Lonchura striata: one gene and its partner. The protein of the gene in region 1 purifies or fractionates together with the protein of each later gene. This does not show direct contact. Links are inferred from orthologs where the notes say so. Each region holds a gene or a part of one and is shown in the gene's direction. Other genes may lie near its edges.

Region 1 (10,338 bases):
GAAAATGCACTTGAAATGAGTCAAGTTTATCAAAACAAAATTGTGCACACACCCATGCACCAGCCCGCGTGTTCGTGCTTGTCTCTGGGTGTGTATACACATAGAGAAATATATTATTTTCCAAAACATTCCTTTTTTAAATCTTTTCTTTCTTTTTTTTTTTTTTTTTTGTTTGCGTTTTTTTGGGGTTGTTTTCCCCTACCCCCAGGATATTAACCAAAAGGTGTTTTAAAGTTATGGCATGAAAACTCCTAAATGTAAATCTGAGTACCTTGTGATGCTAATTAACAGGTTTTTTCCTGAAACTTTATGTGATGCTTAATATTTTCCTTAGGAAGTTTTGTTTAATGTTAGATCATTGTTCTGGAGGATGTTGGTCCTACTGGCATTAAACTAATGGAAATAAAATGCATGTGTTACAAGTGTAGAAACGGTGAAGAATTAAGTGTGAACTTACTGTACGATACTGATTCTGTTTTCAAACAATCTGTTTTGCTGTTCAATAGTTGACATATGGAAATGCCAATGTACTGTAATTTAGCACTTTTCCAATGGACCCTGTTCTCACTACGCCTGAGGGAAGAAGCAGGTTTGGCATGAGGCCGACTGAATGCAGCCCCCGAACCTTTTTCTGTGTGTTTTGGCACCAGAACTGGCCAGGTGGAGCTTGAATTGGAGGTTTTCTCATTGGTTTGGTGGCTGGCACAGGGCAGAGAGGAGTGGCTCTTCCATCCCCGTGGTCAAACCAGGACCATTTTGCAGCTTGGTCTGGTGAAAGGCGTCCCTGCCCATGGCAGGGAGGGTGGAATGAGATGATCTTTGGGGTCCCCTCCATTCTGGGATTCTAGGATTCTGTGATTTGGGTGCAGCCCTCGCTGTGGGTGGATGGACTGGTGGCATTGCGCTCCACCAGCGCATCCCCGCGGGAGCCAGGCTGGGGTCGGGCAGTCCGAGCTGGGGTGGGAAAGCGGCCGAAGCATCCACAGTCCCTGAAATCCAAGGGCAGAAGGGACAGCTCACCAGCCACCCCTCTCCAGCCCAAACCCTCCTTTCCTAGTGCTAACAGGGTGCAAAGTGTTACTTGTCATGTACTGTACTGAAAGGGTTAATTGATCAGTGACTGTATTGTACTGTATGAAAACTCATGAATTGCCTTGTATTGTTTCTAATGGACTGTTCCATGTGTCCCCACTGCCCATTCCCAAAGGACGCATGTGCTCAGTTGGGTCCTCCAAACTCTCTGGTGCTAACTCCTCCGTATCCGATGGTGCTCCTGCGGACTCTAACTGACCACATGCCTGTCCCCAGCTTGAAGTTCACCACGTCTTTCTCGTCTGTTTGTATCAAGTCTCACACACACACACACACACACAGACACACACATATGAGAAAAATTAAGGATAAACTTGAATTTGTTTCAAAGCCTCATTGACAATCTAATGTTTTCTATGTCTGCTTTTATTTTGGGATGGTTTTTCTAGAAAGCAGCCCGCCAGCACCTTCGCCCCGGGAGGGGATTTCGTCCTGTTCACTCCTCTGGCATCCGAGGTGAGCTGCTCCCTCACTGGCTTTTCAGGCTCAGCTGCTGGAGGTTGATACATCAGGAGCCAGTGAGGAAGAGGAGGTGCAGGTGCCTTCAAAGATGTCCAACCCTAAAAAGCAGATGGGATCCTCATGACTGCATAATCCAAACATAGGTGGGTGGGCACTGAGGGTCTTGGAGGGGATGAATCAGCTCCTTGCTTTGTGACAAAAATTGGCTTTTAAGAAGAAAAGGAGGTAGAAATTTAGAGTCCCAAAGGCGCCTCCATCTCCTCCCAGCATGGCTCATCTCTGCTGGCAGAGGAGCCACCTCCCAATCCTGAGGTTTTCCAGGTGACACACACTTTGGATGGCGTGAACAGGGCCATCCCCTCCAACCCCCCACCCCAATGCGAGCTGCTTTTTGGACAAAATTAAATCTGAATATATTTTATATCGATTTGAAAACAAAGTCTGATATTTACCCCTGTTCTCAACTGAATTTGCATATTGTTGTTTGCCACGATATTTGTTCTGTCTTCAAATAAATTTGCTTACTTGTGTAGTCTTAACTGTCTGCTCGGATTCTTACCACCATATTTGCCCCTGCTCCGAGATGCCTGCCTCACAGCTCTCCTTTGAGCACTTCCCAGGGAGGCGAGAAGGAAATGTTTCCAGGAGGGGGAATCATTTCAGCCTGTAAATGTTTTTCTCTCCGTTATCTCCCATTCATCTCCCCGGGGCTTTTCAATTTGATGCCCTTTTCCCCCCCAGTCTTCCATCATCGGCTCCTTCTATCCGGGTAAGCGCGTGGCAGAGGAACGGCTCTGCCTCAGCCCGCCTCATTTGAGCCATTGAATTGTTGCTGACACGTTTTTTCAGGGTGAGGCATTTCCGACGGCAGCGGTTTGCATTTGGGAATGGAGGGATTTATGGCCGCCAGCGGCCCAGAGCTCCGGGCATCGGCGTCGGCATCCAACGCCGGCTCTTCCTGCACATCGCATTAGCCAGACGTTGGCATCACTCACTGGAGACGTCGCGGCGGAAGGCAGTGCCCTCAAAAGGCTGGAAAACCGATTTGCACACGCGTTTCCAGGGAGGTAATCAAATCAGCCTGCAGGTTCAATAAAAGGAATAAGCAAATATTCCAGATTCGCCTGCGTTTGCATACAAAACCTGTTGCAAGGTTTGCAGGTTTTGAGGTTCCTCCCCCCCCCCTCCCCAAAACAGCTATTTGGGGATTAAAATTGTTCTGGACTGCTGCTACAGGAGGACATTTTTTATTCCCTAAAAGATGCAGCTGTGTCTGAGAGGGACATTTCAGGAGGATTCTTGTGAGGGTTTGGTCACTCTCCTTTCTTTCGGAATCCATCCCTGTGCATACATTACGTCAACAGAGTCCATTTTCAGAGATTCATCTCCCTTCTCCTGGCATCATTCCCCCTCTCTTTGCCTCTTTCCTCCCCTCTGACTTCTCCCTGGCTTTTTTTCCCAGTTTATCAAGATGTTGTAATGTTGCCTGCTGCTCCTCACAGTGCTGCCCATGGTGATAGATGCCACCACGGGAAGGAGGGAGACAAATCCTGTGGGGAAACGCTGGGAGAAAGAATCCAGGCTTCATGGAGGCTGCTGCCAGGTAGGTCTGCCTCCCATCCACTGCAAAAATGCTGTGCCTGCACTCCAAAATGTCTTTTAGGGATCCTTATCCTCATACCCCTGGGTGGTCTGGGGCTCCTCTGCACCCTCAGGGGGGGTCAGGTGCCCTTGGAGCAGCTCCCACTGAGTTTGTGCTCCCTCAGCTGCTGGCAGAAGGAAGAACTTTACTGATTTATTTTATTCATTGTGGGGGTGGGTTTTTTCCCCTCTCTAAAACACAGGAATCCAGCACCCTTTGGGAAGCAGTGGATAAGCCCAGGCAGTGCCTTCCATAGGCAATGGTGGCCATGAGTAATTTTTTCTGCCTCTGTTTCTCCTGTGTTTTGTATCACACTCTAAAAAGCCGAGTTTCAGTGGAAAAGTCACAAGAATAAGAAAGCAAGGTACCCCATGGGGGGGTTTAATGTTACACAGCCAACAGTAATGTGTTTTTTAATAAAGTAGCCTTTCATGCCACTTCACCAGCATTGCCTTTTTAGAAGGTTCTAGCAGAGAGATGATGAGATTTTAGAGAAGGTGGTGGAAAATCCTGCCTTCATTAATTCCCTGTCGCTGAGGCTTGTCAGTTTTCCCTGCCAGGGAGCCTGATGAATGTCCCCCTCTGCTGCCGGGAGATTCCGCAGGCTCTGTCCCTGCCACTCCTTTGCAGGAAAATCCCCAGCTCATCCCAAGAGCTCCCTCTTTCCAGCAAACCACGTCGTGTTGCTCTGAGGAAGGTCCTGGCTCAGGCTGTGAGATTTTGCTGGAGCTTTGCTGAGCACCTGCCATCGGATCGATACCTCAGAAACCTCTTTATTCCTGACCGGGAGCCAAGAGAAATATCTCAGCTGGATCTTTCCATTTAAGCGTCGCCTATTAAACATTTTAATGGTGGCAAGGAATCAGTAAATAGAAACTTAGCACCAAAGCGTGCACATCCATGTGTCCGTGCTTTGTTTCCTCAAATTAAATCATGGGGAAACCTCCAGAAACTGAAAGACAGAATAAAAGCTACTCAGCATTTGTTTTAAGGCTGGCCTCCTGAGACTCAGGATGCCCTTTTTTGGGTCATTTTGGACAAGCCAGGGATGATTTTTATTGGGGGTGCTGCTCTCCCATATGCTCCGGGCTGGGAAGATTTATTGTCCAATGCCACGAGGCAGGATTTGCCTTATCCCATGGCCGTGCTCTGCTGCAGTGCCACAAACATGGAAAATATGGTTAGAAATGACCTTCTGGAAAACCAATCAGCAAATAAAACATCCAGAGGAGCATGAACAGTTCCTGGCAGCTATCTTTCCTGGGAACTGGACTGGCAAGCGATTGTCCTCCAGAACAGTAGCTACAAAGCTGTGTTTTTTGTAAATTGTTCTCTTTTACTTTTTATAGCTGTATTTTCGGTTAGAAAATTCACTTTAGGGACACAATGTTGTGAATCCTTTCATTTTCTTCCCTCAGTTCAGGGTGAATTCCTCAAGTCCATCTCTTCTATCCAAAGGAGATTAAGGGACCTGTGATGGCCATGAGTGTTCCTGGTCGGACAGCCTGAGCAGCTCCTCAGCCTTCCCATCTGACATGAAAAAAACACACCACGTGGACTTGATCTATTTTATCCTGCTAAAAATCCCAGGGAAGTTTTCCCTCAGGGGTCTCCTCCAATCCCAGTCCTTTCTGCCTGGGCTGGGCACTCCGGGTTGTGGCAGTGTCGTAGCCTCAGTTACTGCATCTCTGTCACGATATTACTGCTCCATTTGGGTACAGGGGACACAGCAGAACGAGTCCAAAGCAGATTATATAAATAAAGAGCAGCAAGGAGGGATTTCTGCAGGTCTGTCACAGTTTAAAGCTGAGGGCGAGATGAGTGCCAGACTGTAGCAAATGTATTCATTTTGACTGCTTATATTCACTAATCATGTGTCATATTTAGTACATCATCGTACACGCGCTCCTGTAGCGATTACTGCTCCACAGTATTTCACGGGAATATGGCGAAAGGAATTAATACCGCGCCAGACAGGGATTGTCACATTCCCGGGCCCTGCTACCAACGCTTGCGACTCGACTCCGACAGCGGGCGCAAAACCTTTGATTTAATCCTTTTTCCCCGGCGAGAAGGGAGCAGTTTATTCCTTTTTCCTGCGGCGGGGCGAGCGCGGCCGAGCGGAGCCGGGAGGGGGCGTGGCCACGGCGGGGGCGGGGCCAGCGGGAGGGGCGGGGCTCTGAGGCCGACTCCGCGCGCCGGAAGCGGCGGCGCGCGGCCGTGGGCGTGGCCGGAAGTGCGCAGCAGCCGCGGCAGGCGGGGGGCGCCGCCATTACGCGGAGCGGAGCAGCCCCGAGCGGGCCGCGCGTCCCCGGCCGCCGCCGGCACCCACAGGCGGGCCCGGGCCTCGGGGGGCCCGCCCGGCCCCCCTCGCCATGGAGGAGAAGGGCTTCGCCAAGGAGCTGGACCAGTGGATCGAGCAGCTGAACGAGTGCCGGCAGCTGAGCGAGAGCCAGGTCCGCAGCCTGTGCGAGAAGGTGAGTGCGGGGCCCGGACGTTGGGAGGGCGGGACGGTGCCCGCGGTGTGTCCGGCGTTGGGAGACCGGCTTGTGGCCGGGGGGATACCGGGCTCTGGGGGGCGGGGTGGTGCCTGTGGAATACCGGGCGTGGAGAGAGCGGGGTGGTGCCTGCGGGACAGCGAGTTTTGGGAGGCAGGGATGCGGCTGCTGGGATGTCGGGCGCTGGGAAAGCGGGCGGTGCTTGTGGGGTGTTGGCACTGGGAAAGCGGCTGGTGCCTGTGGGTTTTGGGAGAGCGGGATGGCGCCTGTGGGATATCCGCCATTGGATCTTTGGGATGGTGTCTGTCAGAGTGGACGTGGGGTGGCCGGGGCGCTCCCTCTGGAGCGTCCCGCGCTGGGACACCGGGGTGGTGGCCCTGGAGTATCCGATGTCCTGGTGTCCTACACAACGTGGAGGAGCCAGGCGCTGGAAAATCAACCCCGAGTCAGTGAGGAAGCCCACTGACTTCCGAGGTGGGATCTCGGGAAGCAGAGGTGAGCCGCAAACAGGCTCGCAGCCTGCTGAGGCGACCAAAATAGAAAGAGGAATGGTCGGATAAAGGACACTGTCTGCTGTTCTGGGCTGCGGTATGGACAGGCCTTGGCAAACGCGTGCTTGGATTTGTTTAGTGGGCACTGGGAAAAACCTTTTTTTCCCATCGGGGGAAAGGTCCTTAGACTTGTGCTAGGTGTTGTCTGAGCAGTCCAGTAGCAGTTTGTGAGCACTCCCTTAGCACTGCAGTCTGTGACCAAGGGAAGATTTTCCTTGGCACGTTCTTCCAACAGTGATCCTGACACTCCCTAACCACCCCCCCCCACACACATTTTCTGGTTTCTTCCTTTTTGTTTTCTCAGTCCTGTGCTGGAGCCATCCGTTTGTTTTGTGCCTCTTTTCTCCAGAGCTCCATCAGTTATGAGGGAGCTGTGGCTCTTTAGGACGCTGGAATTGTGGCTGCTGTATTTTGGGAAGCTGAAGGCTGACAGGAGAGCTCAGCTGTAGGTGGGGAGGGTGTTTGTCCTTCAGGAAGCAGGTGACAGGGAGGTGTGTCATCTGTCACAGCACCTCGTTCTTCCAGGCTGCTGGAAACGGAGGGAAACGGCTGGGGCATGAAGGAAACACTGTGCCCTGCACTGACTTGGCTTGTTTAAGTTTTGGGGAGTGGTTGTGTCACCCAGGAGAGGAGCTTACAAAAAACTCTGGGTGTGCAGCCCTGCCACAAAGCTGGTTTAGTTGGTTTCCTTGAAATTATATTTGGAGGAATCCTCTTCTCCAGAACACTTTGTAACACTCTTGTTTTTGGGGCTGATTTCAGAGACACTCAGGACAGTAGTACCTTTTGCCTCAGGTTTCAAGTTGTGGAAGAACTCAGTCCTAAAACAAAAAATCAAAATGAAGGGAAAAAAGAAAAGAAAACAAAACAAAAAAACCACAATGAAATCCCAGAGCTATCTGTGTGGATCATTTTTGGTTTTAGGTAGTGGCGTAGAGGGCAGTGCTGAGGGGAGGATTGGACACAATGAAGGTGTGCCCAGTGATTGTGCACTCGTAAAAGTTGTTGAAATTTGCAGCTGTGGCAGTGACATTCTGTCCTCACCTGCCCAGTGGCAAGCTCATTAGGCAGCTGATCAGCCCCCTGTGGCTCCTGCAGGTGAGGGAGGTGCTGTTCCTCAACGTGATAACCTTGTTCCCATTCTCTTGGTGTTTAAAAGGGAAATTAGCTCAAATCCTACAGAAATTCAGAGGCTGATAGAAGGATTAATTCTGGTCACTGTTCAAGCTTCCACGTTTGGGGTGCAGGTGAGGGAGTTGAGAGCCACCCTGCTTAATCCAGGCAAAAGGGTTCTTCACCAAGATGATCAAATGGGCAATGGAAGAAGGCAGGAAAAGGCTGCCTCCTGAATTAAACAAGCAGCCATCCATGACCATCCCTCTCCTTGCAGCTTATCTTTCCTCTCCTGGTTCCTTGGAGGTGTGAGAGGGGACACAGGAGATTCCCTGTGTTGTGTCATGGCTGGCAGTGTTTTATCACTCTGTTGGTGATGTTCATCCCGGGGGGTGCTGGATCAGGGAGCACCTTAGCAGAGGCTCTGGGTGCCTCATTCCTGAAGGGTGAGACAGCTCCATCCCTGCCATCCCTCTGGCTTCCATCTCACTTGGCTGGTTGGCATTCCAGCCAAGCTCCCTGAGGTTCATAGCCTCAGCCCACTTGTTGGTACAGTAGTTTGGTCTGTGGCCATTGGTGGGATGAAGGTTCAGGTGAATTTGGATCCCCAACTCCACGCCTGGCTTCAGGTTCCCAGAGAACGAGCCTCTATGGGTCAGATCAAGCTGAGGGAATCAGTTTTCCTGAAGGAATGGAGTTTCTTCTCTCTCTGAGGCTCTTCAGAAACACACCAGGAGTTGAGCACAGACAGACAACCATTGGTTCAGTTTACTTAATGCAAGGGAGTTTTATTTAACAAAAACACCTAAAGACTGCTGCTTTTTTGTCCTGACCTGGATATGGTTTTCATCCAGCACAAGTGGGACAGATGCACAGGAGGCTGATACCATTAGTCACTGTTTTCTGCAACAAAGGTAGCTAAATTTTGACTTCTAAGTCATAGTTATTTATTAGCCTCCTGGATTAAGTAAGTGCTGATGATGCCAGGCAGCCTGCTTGCATCAGAGGTTTTTATTTTTGCTTTGTAATAGTGCTTTTTATTTTAAGTAATTTGATTTCAATGTTCACGCTGCAGGCAGATGCGCTGGTTAGTCACTGCTTTTCTGGGGTGTTTTTATCGATGCTGAGCATTTTGCAAGCCTTGTTCTGCATGAGAAGATCATCATGTGAGGGCAAACTGGGGCTCCCGACCCTGATGTAAACTGGCTCGGCAGAGTTCAAATGACAGCCTGGATCTGTCCACGTGCACCGACGACTGTCCACAGCATGAGCTAAAATGGGCTGCAGGGGAACAGCTGCTTGGCAGCGGAAGGAGCCGCTCCTGTCACCTGCCAGCTCCTCCTTCCTCATCAGGGGAAACTTTTGGATTCTCCTAGCACCAACGTTTCAGGTCGTGGGCTGTCCCCCATTCCTAGGGTAGGTTTAAAGTGAGCCCATTTGCCCTGTTCCTGTGGAAAAGGAGCACTGCTGAGCTCCAGCTTGGAACAAACCCCTGCCTGTTGCTTTGTGCAACAGCCAGAACACACGGAGCAGCTGTTTTGTGGGTTTATATTTGTCTCTCCCAGAGGGTGGAAGCTCTCAGAAGGCACTATAAATGCTTTTAAAGACGTGCAAGCAGAATTTGAGTGCTACTACTGCACTCAAATACAACATGTTCAGCAGTTCCCAGTCATGCCAGAAGTGCAAGGCAGAGCCCAACTCGTCAAATCCATGGGCAGGATGTGACTTTAAGGATCCGTCAAGTTAGGTTCTGTGCAGAGAGCATGCTGGATGCAGTCCAAACTGCTTGGGGTGTAGTTACTCCTTCCAAATACATGTTCTACCTAAAAGAGGCAAGGCAGCAAGCACTGGAATGGAAACTCAGGCATCCTCAGGAAGCCCACAGAGGGTATCATTTGGAAGCGGTTCCCTTCTGGCAGCACAGGGTGAGCCTTAGCTCATCCTGAGCTAAGGGATATGGCAGGGAATACCCAGATCATCACCTGCTGGTGATTGCTCAGTGTTGGTGATCTTCCAGCCCTTTTGTTTGGATCAGATGGAGCCATCCTGTGGGTGTTCCCTGTGCCTCAGATGTGCCAGGAGCGCTGTTCAGCATCAGTCAGTGAGCTGCAGGCAGCACAACAAACCTGGTATTTGATAAGGATAATAAGGTGGTGCAGATAGGCTACATTGCATGGTTGTAATTAGCAGAGGAACTGCTGGGTGTGGGAGAAGAGATGACTAAATCCAGGGATGCCATCCCTCCATCTGTAGTTGTTTTGTTGCCAGCTGGGCACAGCCAGGGAAGCTGGTTGTGGCTCCATATGTTCCAACTGCCTCTGTCTCTGCTTTCCAGTTGTAAGTGACTAGCCCGTAGAAGTTGCTGAACTGTTGTGCTGGGAAGAGGATTGGAATTCTGTTGGGCAAAATGTACCCCGGGCAAGGGCATCTGGCCTTGCTGTAGTAAAGGATGGCCTGTTCATCCCCGTGCACTGGGATTTGGGAAACACCCCTTGTCTGTGCTCACCAAACTTTTTCCAGTGGTTGGCTTGAGCAGCGGGGATGAAACTGGGTTTCCAGTGGGAATGCAGCAGAATAATATCACCAGCTTCTGGAGGAGCTTCCTACCTTGTTGCCCTAAACATGCTTTCCTTGCCAGGCTAAAGAAATCCTTACAAAGGAATCAAATGTGCAAGAGGTGCGCTGCCCCGTCACTGTCTGCGGGGATGTCCACGGGCAGTTCCACGACCTTATGGAGCTCTTCAGGATTGGTGGGAAGTCTCCAGACACAAACTACCTGTTCATGGGAGACTATGTGGACAGAGGCTATTACTCTGTGGAGACAGTGACTCTCCTGGTGGCGTTGAAGGTACGGCTTGGGGGACTGGGGATGAAACCTGGGAGCTGGGAGCCGTTTTCTCCTCCCGGTGAGGCTGCCGTTGGCTCGGGCATAACGGGTGTAAATGGATCCGTGTCAGCAGACACGTGCTGGGAGCAGAGT
Region 2 (10,237 bases), on another chromosome or scaffold:
AAGAGAACTGGGCTCAGTAACACTCAACGTGGAGAATGAATGGACTCCCATTCTCACACCCCATAAACATCCTCATGCACACCTTGTTAAACACCACCCCAGAGACTGCATTTCAAGCAGGTTTCCATAAACTCCATGTGACCTGGATACAATGCTAGATAAAACCATCGGATAAAATGCAGCACTAGAAGTATGTGAACCTGGGATTAGAAGATCAGGGTGACTTAATGCAGAACCAGTCTTCACATCTGGACTGCTGTAAACATTGCTCAGTCCAAGGCCCCCATGGAAAAAAACCAACACACCAACAGTAATTCAGTAAAATGCATAAGAACTGCTCATTGCTAGAGCTCTACAGTGATATGCAGTAGGAATTAATCTAAAAACATAATGCAAACAACTGCTGAATAAATTTTTTTGTTTGGCTTGTAGTGCACCTGCTCTTACAGAATCAACATTTCATACTCTTTTTTTTCTTGCAGAGATGTAATATTCCTGCATTAAACCAACTGCTCAGGTAAGGAGAGAGCCAGGGACAAGGCCTTATTCTAACTACATGGTGCATATGATAAGGAGGAAACAAAATGTGTCTGCAAGTACAGAACATTTAAATGCCTCTACTCACAATGAAAGCTGGCAGGTTACAAAAGAATTTGTAATTATATCTCTTATTTGCTCTTAAAGGAGTTGTGCACCAGCACAATCAGATCCTATATTACTGCAGTATTCTACCTCAAGGTGGTAGGAGACAGAGAAAATTCAAGCCTCAGATCCCAGTATTAGGCTCTTCAGAGAGCATTGCTTGCTGCCAAACATGTGCACCAAGTCAGCATTGCTGACATATCTTTGCCTGCTTATGATGCTACTTCTGGAGGCCATATGACCTACAGTTCACCATTCCAGCTCTATTTTTGGTAAGCTGCCAGAAGAAAGCATGGAGTGGTATGGTTAGCTGGTATGGGTACATAGTTCAGTGGATTACCAGTTACTACCGTTTTCTTAATATTTATCTTCATTTTAATTGATGCAGCATAAGGCATGTAAAATCCTCTTAATTCCCCCAAATTACTACCAGGACTAGGAATCTGAGTGACAGTACATTAGACTTTATCCTTCACTTGATGGAAAGTAACATATACACTCCCCTGAAGTCTCCTTGACTGCATACCATAAGCAGGTTTACAAGGAACCTCAATGAACCCATCTGGCTAAAATTTCCAATAACAACAACTTAAATAAAAGTGACTGGTTTGTCAGAGATATTCAGCACACCTGCTTCCAACTAAGTTAGCACATCCGGAAATCAAGACATAGTTATTTTAGTACCTATATACAGGTTAGAACTGGACTTCACATGCCTAAATTTCAAAGTTGTGAACTATGTCAGCAAAAGGATTATAAAAGAATTATAAAAGTAAAAGCCAAATCAAAATGCAATAATGTCCTTAAAGCAGCATTCAAAAGCGGTACTGTAGTTCTCTTCTCTGAGTGACAGGCTATCATAGTTTAACCGCAGTCATCAACCAAATACTACACAGCTGCTCACTCACTCCCCCACCAGCAGGATCAGGGAGGGAATTGGAAAGGTAAAAGTGTGAAACTCATGGGTTGAGATAAACACAGTTTAAGAAGAAAGGCAAAAGCTATGCACGCAAGCAAAACAAAACAATGAAATTAATTCACTGCTTCTATGGGCAGGCAGATGTTCAGTCATCTCCAGGAGAGCAGGGCTTCATCATACAGAACAGTGACATGAGAAGACAAGAATCATGACTCCAACAAACATTCCCCCTCTTCCTCCTTCTTCTCCCCTCTTTATGTACTGATCATGATGTCATATAGTCTGGAATATCCCTTTGGTCTGTTGGGGTCAGCTGTCCTGGCTCACAGTCTCCCATGCATCCATAGTCTGCTCATCAGCCTGGCAGTAGGAAAAGCATAAAAGGCCTTGGCTCTCTGTAAGTCCTGCTCAGCAATGACAAAAACATTTCTCCATTACCAACCCCATATTCAACAGAAATCCAAAGCAAGCTCATACTACCCCTGTGAAGCCCAGATATACCAGCACAAAGGCACATGAAATGTTCCAGAATAAGGAGTCAGAAAGATCCTGCAGTGAACTGTATTTTGATCTCAGACGTGTTCCACCTCAACCTGCCACTCTGTTTAAGGATGATAACTGCTTTTGAGATGGGATGAGAGTACATCTGACATAGCCCTGTGCAAGCAAGTAAATATAATTCTCCAAACACATTTATCCTATCTAATTTTAGATTTCTAAAATGTAGTTATATGTACCTCAAATTCTAATTGAGATTCTTATTAAGTAGTGGAGAGGAACACTTTTAAGTCATGTTACAGCTGATCTAGGTTAGATGTCAACCTCTGGATAACATTTATCAGGCCTTAGAAATGTTGCTTTAGCACAGAGAGATTGGAGACATCTCTTTATTACCTGTATGTCTAAGTTGTACAGACCCTAGGTTATCAGAAAGAAGCCCAGCTCTCACTTCAAAATGCTGGTAAGGAATGGAAATATTCCTTATGAACACCATTGTCCTGTGCCACTGTACACAGTGACAAATAAAGGCAAAGGAAGACTTTGATATTTAGCCAGGAACATATATTGACAGTACTGCTAATATCACACTTGCTGAGTCAATACTAGTGAAGCAAAATGAGAAATTAGCTGTAGGCAGCAGAGCCAACAAGAGCTGGATGTGGCTCTTCAGTTTCTGCACTGGGGTTAGTACCTCCACACACAGCATGAAGGGAGGTACCGTGCTACACCTGTATGGTATCCTAACTCCACTGCACTGGGCTGTTGGGCCCAAGCACTCCTGTTATTAATTGGCTCAAGTTACATCAATGCACCACTCTGCTGCACTTATTAAACAAGTGCCTCACCTAAAGCATAGTCTGTGTCTTTTACAGCAATGCTAAGTGTGACTCCATCACTAAACTTTCAGGTATCAGTTAGATATTGCATGCTCAGTACTTTAATATTTAATAATTATTCAGTGGATTTTTAAAGGTGACCATCCTTAAACCATATGGATACATTTCATTAAAATGGTAAGACCCTAGAACAGATTTTTGTTTTCCATACATTGAAAGCAATGTAAAAAAGGTTCAGCTTCTGTAGTCACCATGTCAAGCAAACAAAAGGAAATAGCAGCAAAAAGGATTTCAAGTTTCAATTCTCGGTGGAAGATCTGAACAAAGAGGTTCAATTTAGGTATTTCTCCACTTTTGCCCAAGTTTGAGCCCCTGTATCTCTACAAACACACACCCCTACCAGTAGACACACTGCTGAGTAGAGCTGATTCATCCAGACACAAGTTCAAAACATCTGTCTCAATTACCAGTTCTGGTACAATCTGGTGAGGATGACCAAAGTGTTTTCCTCTTAACAGAAGGCAGATGTAATTGATTCCTCTCTCACACCAGTGTTATCCGTGACACTCTAATGACGTCAGAGCTAGAAATGCTTTGAATCTACACTAGCATGCATGAGAGAACACAATGACTGTGTGCATCTCTCAGAGGGTTTATTTAATTTCTTTTTTTCTTATTTCTCATGTTCCTCTGGGAGATCTCATTGCCAGTTTCAACAAAGGGCATCATCTCTTTGCAGATGATATCCAACTCTACAACTCTGTCAAGTCAGTCTCTGATCCCCTTCTTCCCACCTGTCTTCAACATGTCAATCAACAGATGGCTACACCATCACTAAGGAATGCTTCAAAGGCATTCAAAATGTTTTAAAAGTCCTCTTTGTTCCATGTCTCTTGCTCTGCTATCAGTCTTCATAATTCAGCCCTTCAGTTCTCTGCCAAAAATCTTGCTGCTATCCATAACATAGGGTTTTAAATTTCTTTTCTCTACTTAAAAGCTACTTCCATATTATATACAGATTTATCCGTACTTCGACATCTGCTTCCGCTGTGTTATGTTGAATGTTTTACTCCAGTTTAAAAAATGCCATTTTGTCCACTGTGGCTTTCCAAAAATATATTTTCTAACTTCACCAACCAATGGGCAGGAAACATAATACTACCCCTACTTCAAAAAGTGGAGACTCCCTCAAGAACTTTCAATGTCTTTTTAAGTGCAGAATCTCATTTTGAGATTTGTGAAAATATATTGAAAATATATTTCAGTGTCTACAGCTGGAAGCTAAAGCCTTCTGATAGAGTAATACTGGGTTTTTCCAGATGACTGTTATTATCAAAATATCATTCTGGTATTACCCAAACATAATTGTGCTGGACTGTACCAGATTTCTCTCACAGCATCTTGGCTTTTGTTTCTCCTCAGCCCTTTCTTATCTCTGTATCTTTTCTACAAGCTTCCAAAAATGAGAAAGCAAGCCCATTCCTTCACTTACCCCATTTTATTCTTACTTGCATTTTCAAGCCTTCCCTTCAAACTACTGTATCATCTTCGGTTCAGTACAGCCCCATTTCCACAACATTAATGTTCCAACAATTTGTAATAATAACCTGCCATAAATCTGTAGTGTCTCTGCTGGTAAAGGAATTGGCAGAATGTAAAATGGATTAACAAAAGTGAAGTGTAGCCATATGAGGAAAACTCAGTGCAGTGGAAATAGGGAATGTGATGTAAATATACCAATGAGTCACTGATGTAAAAAATACCAAAGGAAAAAAACTATATGGGCCAACAGACAACCACCTAAACCCCACTGATAAATGCACCCAGGGAGACTCAAAGGGGTGCCCCTGAAAGCTGACAACCACAAAATCCCAGTGTATGTTTTCCAGTACAAAAAAGGGGCTGCAAACAGATTGGCGCACATCATTCTCTTAGTAAGAGGATTATCCTTCTATTTGTTACTGCCTCCACCTCCTCTTTCATCCTATCATTTACAATCCTGTAACACTAGTGGTAACCATAGCCATTCTGTAGAAAGAGCATTTAGTGTTCTCCTTTTAACAGCATTTAGCAGATGGAACAAGCTCACTTTCACAGAACCACAGAATGGGTAAATTGTGTGGAATGGATTACAGTGGGTCATCCGATCCAGGGTCATCCTAGAGCACATGGCACAGAAGTGCATCCAGATGGTTCTTGTACATCTTCCATGAGGGAGACTCTACAACCTGTCTGGGCAATCTGGGCAATCCGTTCCAGCATGTGTGGTTACCTGCACAGTAAAGACATTCTCCCTCACATTCAGGTGGAGCTTCCTGTGCATCAGTTTTTGACCCTTGCCTCATGTACTAGTGGTTGGCACCACCAAGAAGTGTTTGGACCCATCTCCTCAGCACCCCCACTTTGGATATTTATACACATTAAAAAGGTCCTCTCCTAATCATGTCTTCTTGAGGCTGAACAGACCCAGCTCCCTCTGCCTTTCCTCTTAACAGAGATGCTCCTGTCCCTTATTCTCTTTGTCATCTTCTGCTGGACTCTCTCTAGGAGCTTCACGTCTCTTGGGTTGGGAGCCCCGAACTGGACACTCCAGATGGGACCTCACCAGGGCTGAGGAGAGGAGCGGGATCACCTCCCTTGACCTGCTGGCAGTGCTCTTCTTTATGCATCCCTGGATACCACTGGCTTTGTCCCCAAGGACACACTGCTGGCTCAGGGACAGCTTGTTGTCCACCAGGACCCCCAGGTCCTTCTCAGCAGAGCTGCTCCCCGGCAGGTCATTCCCAGCCTCAGCTGGTGCCAGGGTTATTCCTCCCAAGGTGCAGGGCTCTGCATTTGCCTTTGAATTCCACAGTTCTCTGACCCTTTTTTTCTGTCGAGGTCTTTCTGAAGGGCTTCGTGTCATCAGCAACCTTGTTGAGGAGACACTCTGCCCCTTCATCACTTTGCCGGCTCCTCTCAGAGAGGCAGTGAGACGCCGAGACCTCGTCAGAGCTGTAAACTGCGCACAGGGCAGGGCAGGGCAGGGCAGGGCAGGGCAGGGCAGGGCAGGAAGGGAAGGGAAGGGAAGGGAAGGGAAGGGAAGGGAAGGGAAGGGAAGGGAAGGGAAGGGAAGGGAAGGGAAGGGAAGGGAAGGGAAGGGAAGGGAAGGGAAGGGAAGGGAAGGGAAGGGAATGGAAGGGAAGGGAAGGGAAGGGCAGCGCCGCGCCGCGCCGCGCCGCGCCGGCGGCCCTGAGCGGCCCGTTGCCATGGCGACCGGCGGCCGCGTCCCGCGGGGCGGAAGGGCCGCGCTCTCGCGAGATGGCGGCGGCCGGGCCGGGCCGGGCCGGGCCGGAAGGAGGCGCGCGTTTGAAGGCGGCGGCGGCGGGAAGGGGCGGCGGCGGAGGCGGAACGGGGAAGGTGAGTGTGGCTGTCTCCTGGTGTGGAGCCACGTCGCTCCTGAGCTGCCGCCGCGCCGCTGCCGCAAGGCGAAGTGCGGGGCTCGCCCCAGGGGAGCGAGCCTGTGGCCGCAGCGCCGGGCTGGCCCTTCCCCAGGACCGTTTCTTTCCAGGCGAATGGCGCTTAAGGATGGCTGAGCGCAGCCGCCAGTGCCGTGAAGGTGTTGAGCTTAAAAAACTAAGGAAACGAGGTGGACTTCATTGGCAGAAAGAGAATAACTCAACTGAGAAGTTACAGCGGTTTGGAAAGTTTAGGTGGTGTAGTAGTGTTAAAAGGCTTCTAGTTCTTCCGTGGGACGAGGATGAGCTTTAGGTTTTAGTAGGATGTTCGCTTGCTAGGTGTGAAAAACGCCAATCACTTGGGTTTTAAAATTTTAAAAGTTTAATAATAATAAAATGGTTATAAAAATAGTAATACAATTAGAGTAATAAAAATTTAGAGTTAGGACAATTACAAGACAATACAAAGCAGATAATTACGGACGTCCGGATGCTCTCAGACACTAAGTCACGAAAAGCATACCATGTGAAAAAAGGAATCACACTTAAAACAATACACTATTGCATATTTATATATACTTCATGGTTATGCATACATTCTATTTAAAACAAGAAACTGTCTATTATATGTCAACTGTTTCCTTTAATCCTCACAGCATCTTCGAGTCTGAGGAAGGCCTGAAGAAATTAACTTCTTCTGATAGGAGAATCATAAATTCCTCTTCTCTGGAAGATTTAGGTGTTCTGGGACTGTTATCTTGAAGCGAGTATCTCATTCCTTTAAAGAAACCCCACATACATAGTTTTTATTTTAACCTTATGTTATAACCTAAAACTATATTTAACACACTATTTGAGAAAATTAATGCAGCATAACTTTCTAACATTACACATATAATATTCATTTTAATATTTGTGATAAGCCAATCATAAAGTATGCATTTTTCACACTGTTACTCATTTCCAAATTGAAGTGCTTGTTTTAAAGCTTGTTTGGCCAAGTATTTGTATATAGAATCATTTAGGTTGGAAGAGATATCTAAGATCATCAATCATATATATTTTATTATATGATTTATGCATATAGATCAAATTCTGTGAAGGGCTTTTAAAAAAACCACAAACATGAGGAAGGATATATTTTCATTTGAACTGTACCAAATCATTAAGTAAATGGATGCTGAAAATCTTTATGGTAACTTTGGTTTATTCTCAGTGTTTCATTCCAGTCCTCTGTCTTTTTAACACCAAAAAAAAAAAGAAAAAACCTGCCAAAAAACTACTAAAAATCTGTTTGTTTCAGGTGAGTAACTGAACCTGAAATCACACTGTCATAATTCTTGAGCTACATTGGATTTTACATTAGTTTTGAAAAACTGCAAAAGTGAGTGTCAAATAGGACGTTTTTAAAATACCAAATTACAGAGCTTTGGGAATCACTCACATGAGGGGATGCAAGATTTTAAGTCCCTGTCACAACCTCAGAATGGAAGCTGAGCCTTCAGTCTTAGTTCTAAATCTCTTGACTGAAAGACTTGCTTATTAAATCTTATTTGTTCTATCACCAGGGTTTAGCATGAACTGCTTAGATATTTACTTCTTAGTATGTTCAATTATAAGCATTTTCAAGTCTTATTTTTCATAATACATATGTTTTTAACACATATTCTTAGAGGATATTTGTAATATTTGTTAGCTATCTCTTTCAGAAAGCCCAAGTGCAGTTTCTTGGTCTCTAGTCTCCACCGTTTACATAGTATGCTTTTAAAAGAAGTTATCCATTATTTAAAAGAAATTGTTTTGTTGGAATTGACTCTGATTTTTGGCTTACACTTATAAAATGTTGTTGAAGTCACATGTTAAAATATAATTCTCAACTTTTGTTGATACCTTGAAGGAATAAATATTAACATTTTGTTAAATAATGCCTGTGAAACACTGAAAGGTGAATGGAATATTTATATGATTGTCAAATATTTACTTTGAATTTGAACCAACAAAACAGGAGAACTGGCAGAAAATGTCACCTGGAAAAGTTCTGCAACCTGCAGTGAAAATGAAGGTGGATGAACTCTTTTTGTGCTGGTTGAGTCAGCCTGCAACTCAGCTAATACTGAAGGACTGCTTGAGAAGAATCAAGAATAAGGAGAAAACAGAGTTTGGTAATGCAGATTTAGGAAACAGTAAAAATGAGAGCTTCACCAGTAAAAATTCCAGTTCCAAGCAGTGCATATTAGGAAATACCAGGTTGCCTTTGATGTCTTTGAGTCCTCCTCAGCTTTCTACTACTCTTCCATTGGCGACTCCAGCTAGCTCAAGGAACATTTCTAATGTTAGAGCAACACATCGATCCTCAGGGACCAAAGAAGTAAGTTTGTTTCTTATTAGATTTATTTGTTTAAATGGAACTGACTTTTGTGTTTGTGGTATTGGCAAATTGTGTAAGTAAATAGTTTCCCCAGAGGAGGTATCAGGAGTGGACTGAAGCAGCTGCACTGAACTTAAAATACCAATGTTTGTATGTCATTAGTGTTAGTGGATAGGTGGCCAGAGATTCCATAAGATTATCTTGGGTCCTTGCTATCTAATTGTGGATGAATTTAAGTCCTGTGTTTGTGTTCGTTTTATAACATATTGCCTTGACTGCAAATATTCTTTTGTCTAATGATACCAGGCACTGTTGTTAGTACAAGACTCAAATTTGGCTTCACTGGATTTGCATATTAACAAAGTAATTGTTTTGGTACTGCATGGTACACTCAGCACTTCCTTCCTAATGAGCTCTTTATTTAGAACAGACAATGCCCTCTCTGCAAGGATAACAACCCTGCCCCCAACCTGAAATATTCTTTTTAATCTTGCAATTCAGTTCAATCTAGTTTCTAGTGCTTTTCATAAATTATAAAAACAAAACTGGATAGAAAATGTTGTCATGATTGACAAAGTGTTGCTTATGAATGATCAATGAATATAGAATTATAGAATGGTTTGGACTGCAAGGGACCTTCCATACCATCTAGTTCCAACCACCCTGCCGCAGACAGGGACACCTTCCATTAGACCAGGTTGCACAAAGCCCCATCCTACCTGGCTTTGAATACTCCCATGGATGGGAGATGCACAGCTTCTCTAGGCAACCTGTTTCAGTGTCTCACCATCCTCACAGTAAAGAATTTGAATAATTTGATCTAAACTTAGTCTTTCAGTTTAAAGCCCTTTCCCCCTGTCCTGTCACTACATGCCCTTGTACAAAGTCCCTCTCCAGCTCTCTTGTTGGTCCCCTTTAATTACTGGAAGGCTGCTCTAAGTTCTCCCCAGAGCCTTTTATTCTCTAGGTGGAACAACCCCAACTCTCTCAGCCTGTCTTTTTTGGCAAGATACTGCAACCCTCTGTCATCTCTGTGACCTTCCTCTGGACTAGCTCCTGCAGATCCACGTCCTTCTTATGCTGAGGACCCCAGAGCTGGGTACAGCACTCCAGCTGGGGTCTCACCAGAGCAAAGTAGAGGGGCAGAATCACCAACCATGCCCTGCTGGCCAGCTGATTGACTTTACAATAATAGCAACTTGTGTTTATGTTTAATTACCAGCCAGACAGCAGGGCATGGTGATTGATTTACTTTTTTGTTGTTGTTCACACTGTTATATTTCCTGTTCTAATGAAATGCAGAAAGCCAGTCAGCAGCTGCTCAGTTTATTCTTGTATCAGATAAAAGCAAGCAAAGGAAGAGTTTCTGTGAAAACCCACTGTTATTTACTATACTTGATCGCTAACTTGTGTACTGTAATTTCTCTTCATGTGTCTTGGTTGACTGCTTGAAGTAAATCCCATAAAGAAGAACTAGAAGAGATTAATGAAGGGTAACATCCTTGACTTAACTGGAATTGTTTGTATAGTGCTG

Evidence for each region.
Region 2: the proteins of PPP2CB (region 1) and PPP2R3B purify together in Homo sapiens (affinity purification with mass spectrometry; 3 studies listed by BioGRID and IntAct, counting the BioPlex papers as one, with this or other methods). This does not show direct contact. The link is inferred for Lonchura striata from reciprocal best matches to the Homo sapiens genes PPP2CB and PPP2R3B.

Annotation. Positions count from the first base shown.
Region 1 is NC_134606.1:72,151,459-72,161,796, forward strand, and holds the start of PPP2CB (serine/threonine-protein phosphatase 2A catalytic subunit beta isoform), read left to right. Parts: upstream 1-5,486; 5' UTR 5,487-5,571; coding exon 5,572-5,673; intron 5,674-9,996; coding exon 9,997-10,206; intron 10,207-10,338.
Region 2 is NC_134604.1:83,951,169-83,961,405, forward strand, and holds the start of PPP2R3B (serine/threonine-protein phosphatase 2A regulatory subunit B'' subunit beta), read left to right. Parts: upstream 1-6,239; 5' UTR 6,240-6,297; intron 6,298-8,340; 5' UTR 8,341-8,355; coding exon 8,356-8,703; intron 8,704-10,237. UniProt on the Homo sapiens protein: The B regulatory subunit might modulate substrate selectivity and catalytic activity, and might also direct the localization of the catalytic enzyme to a particular subcellular compartment.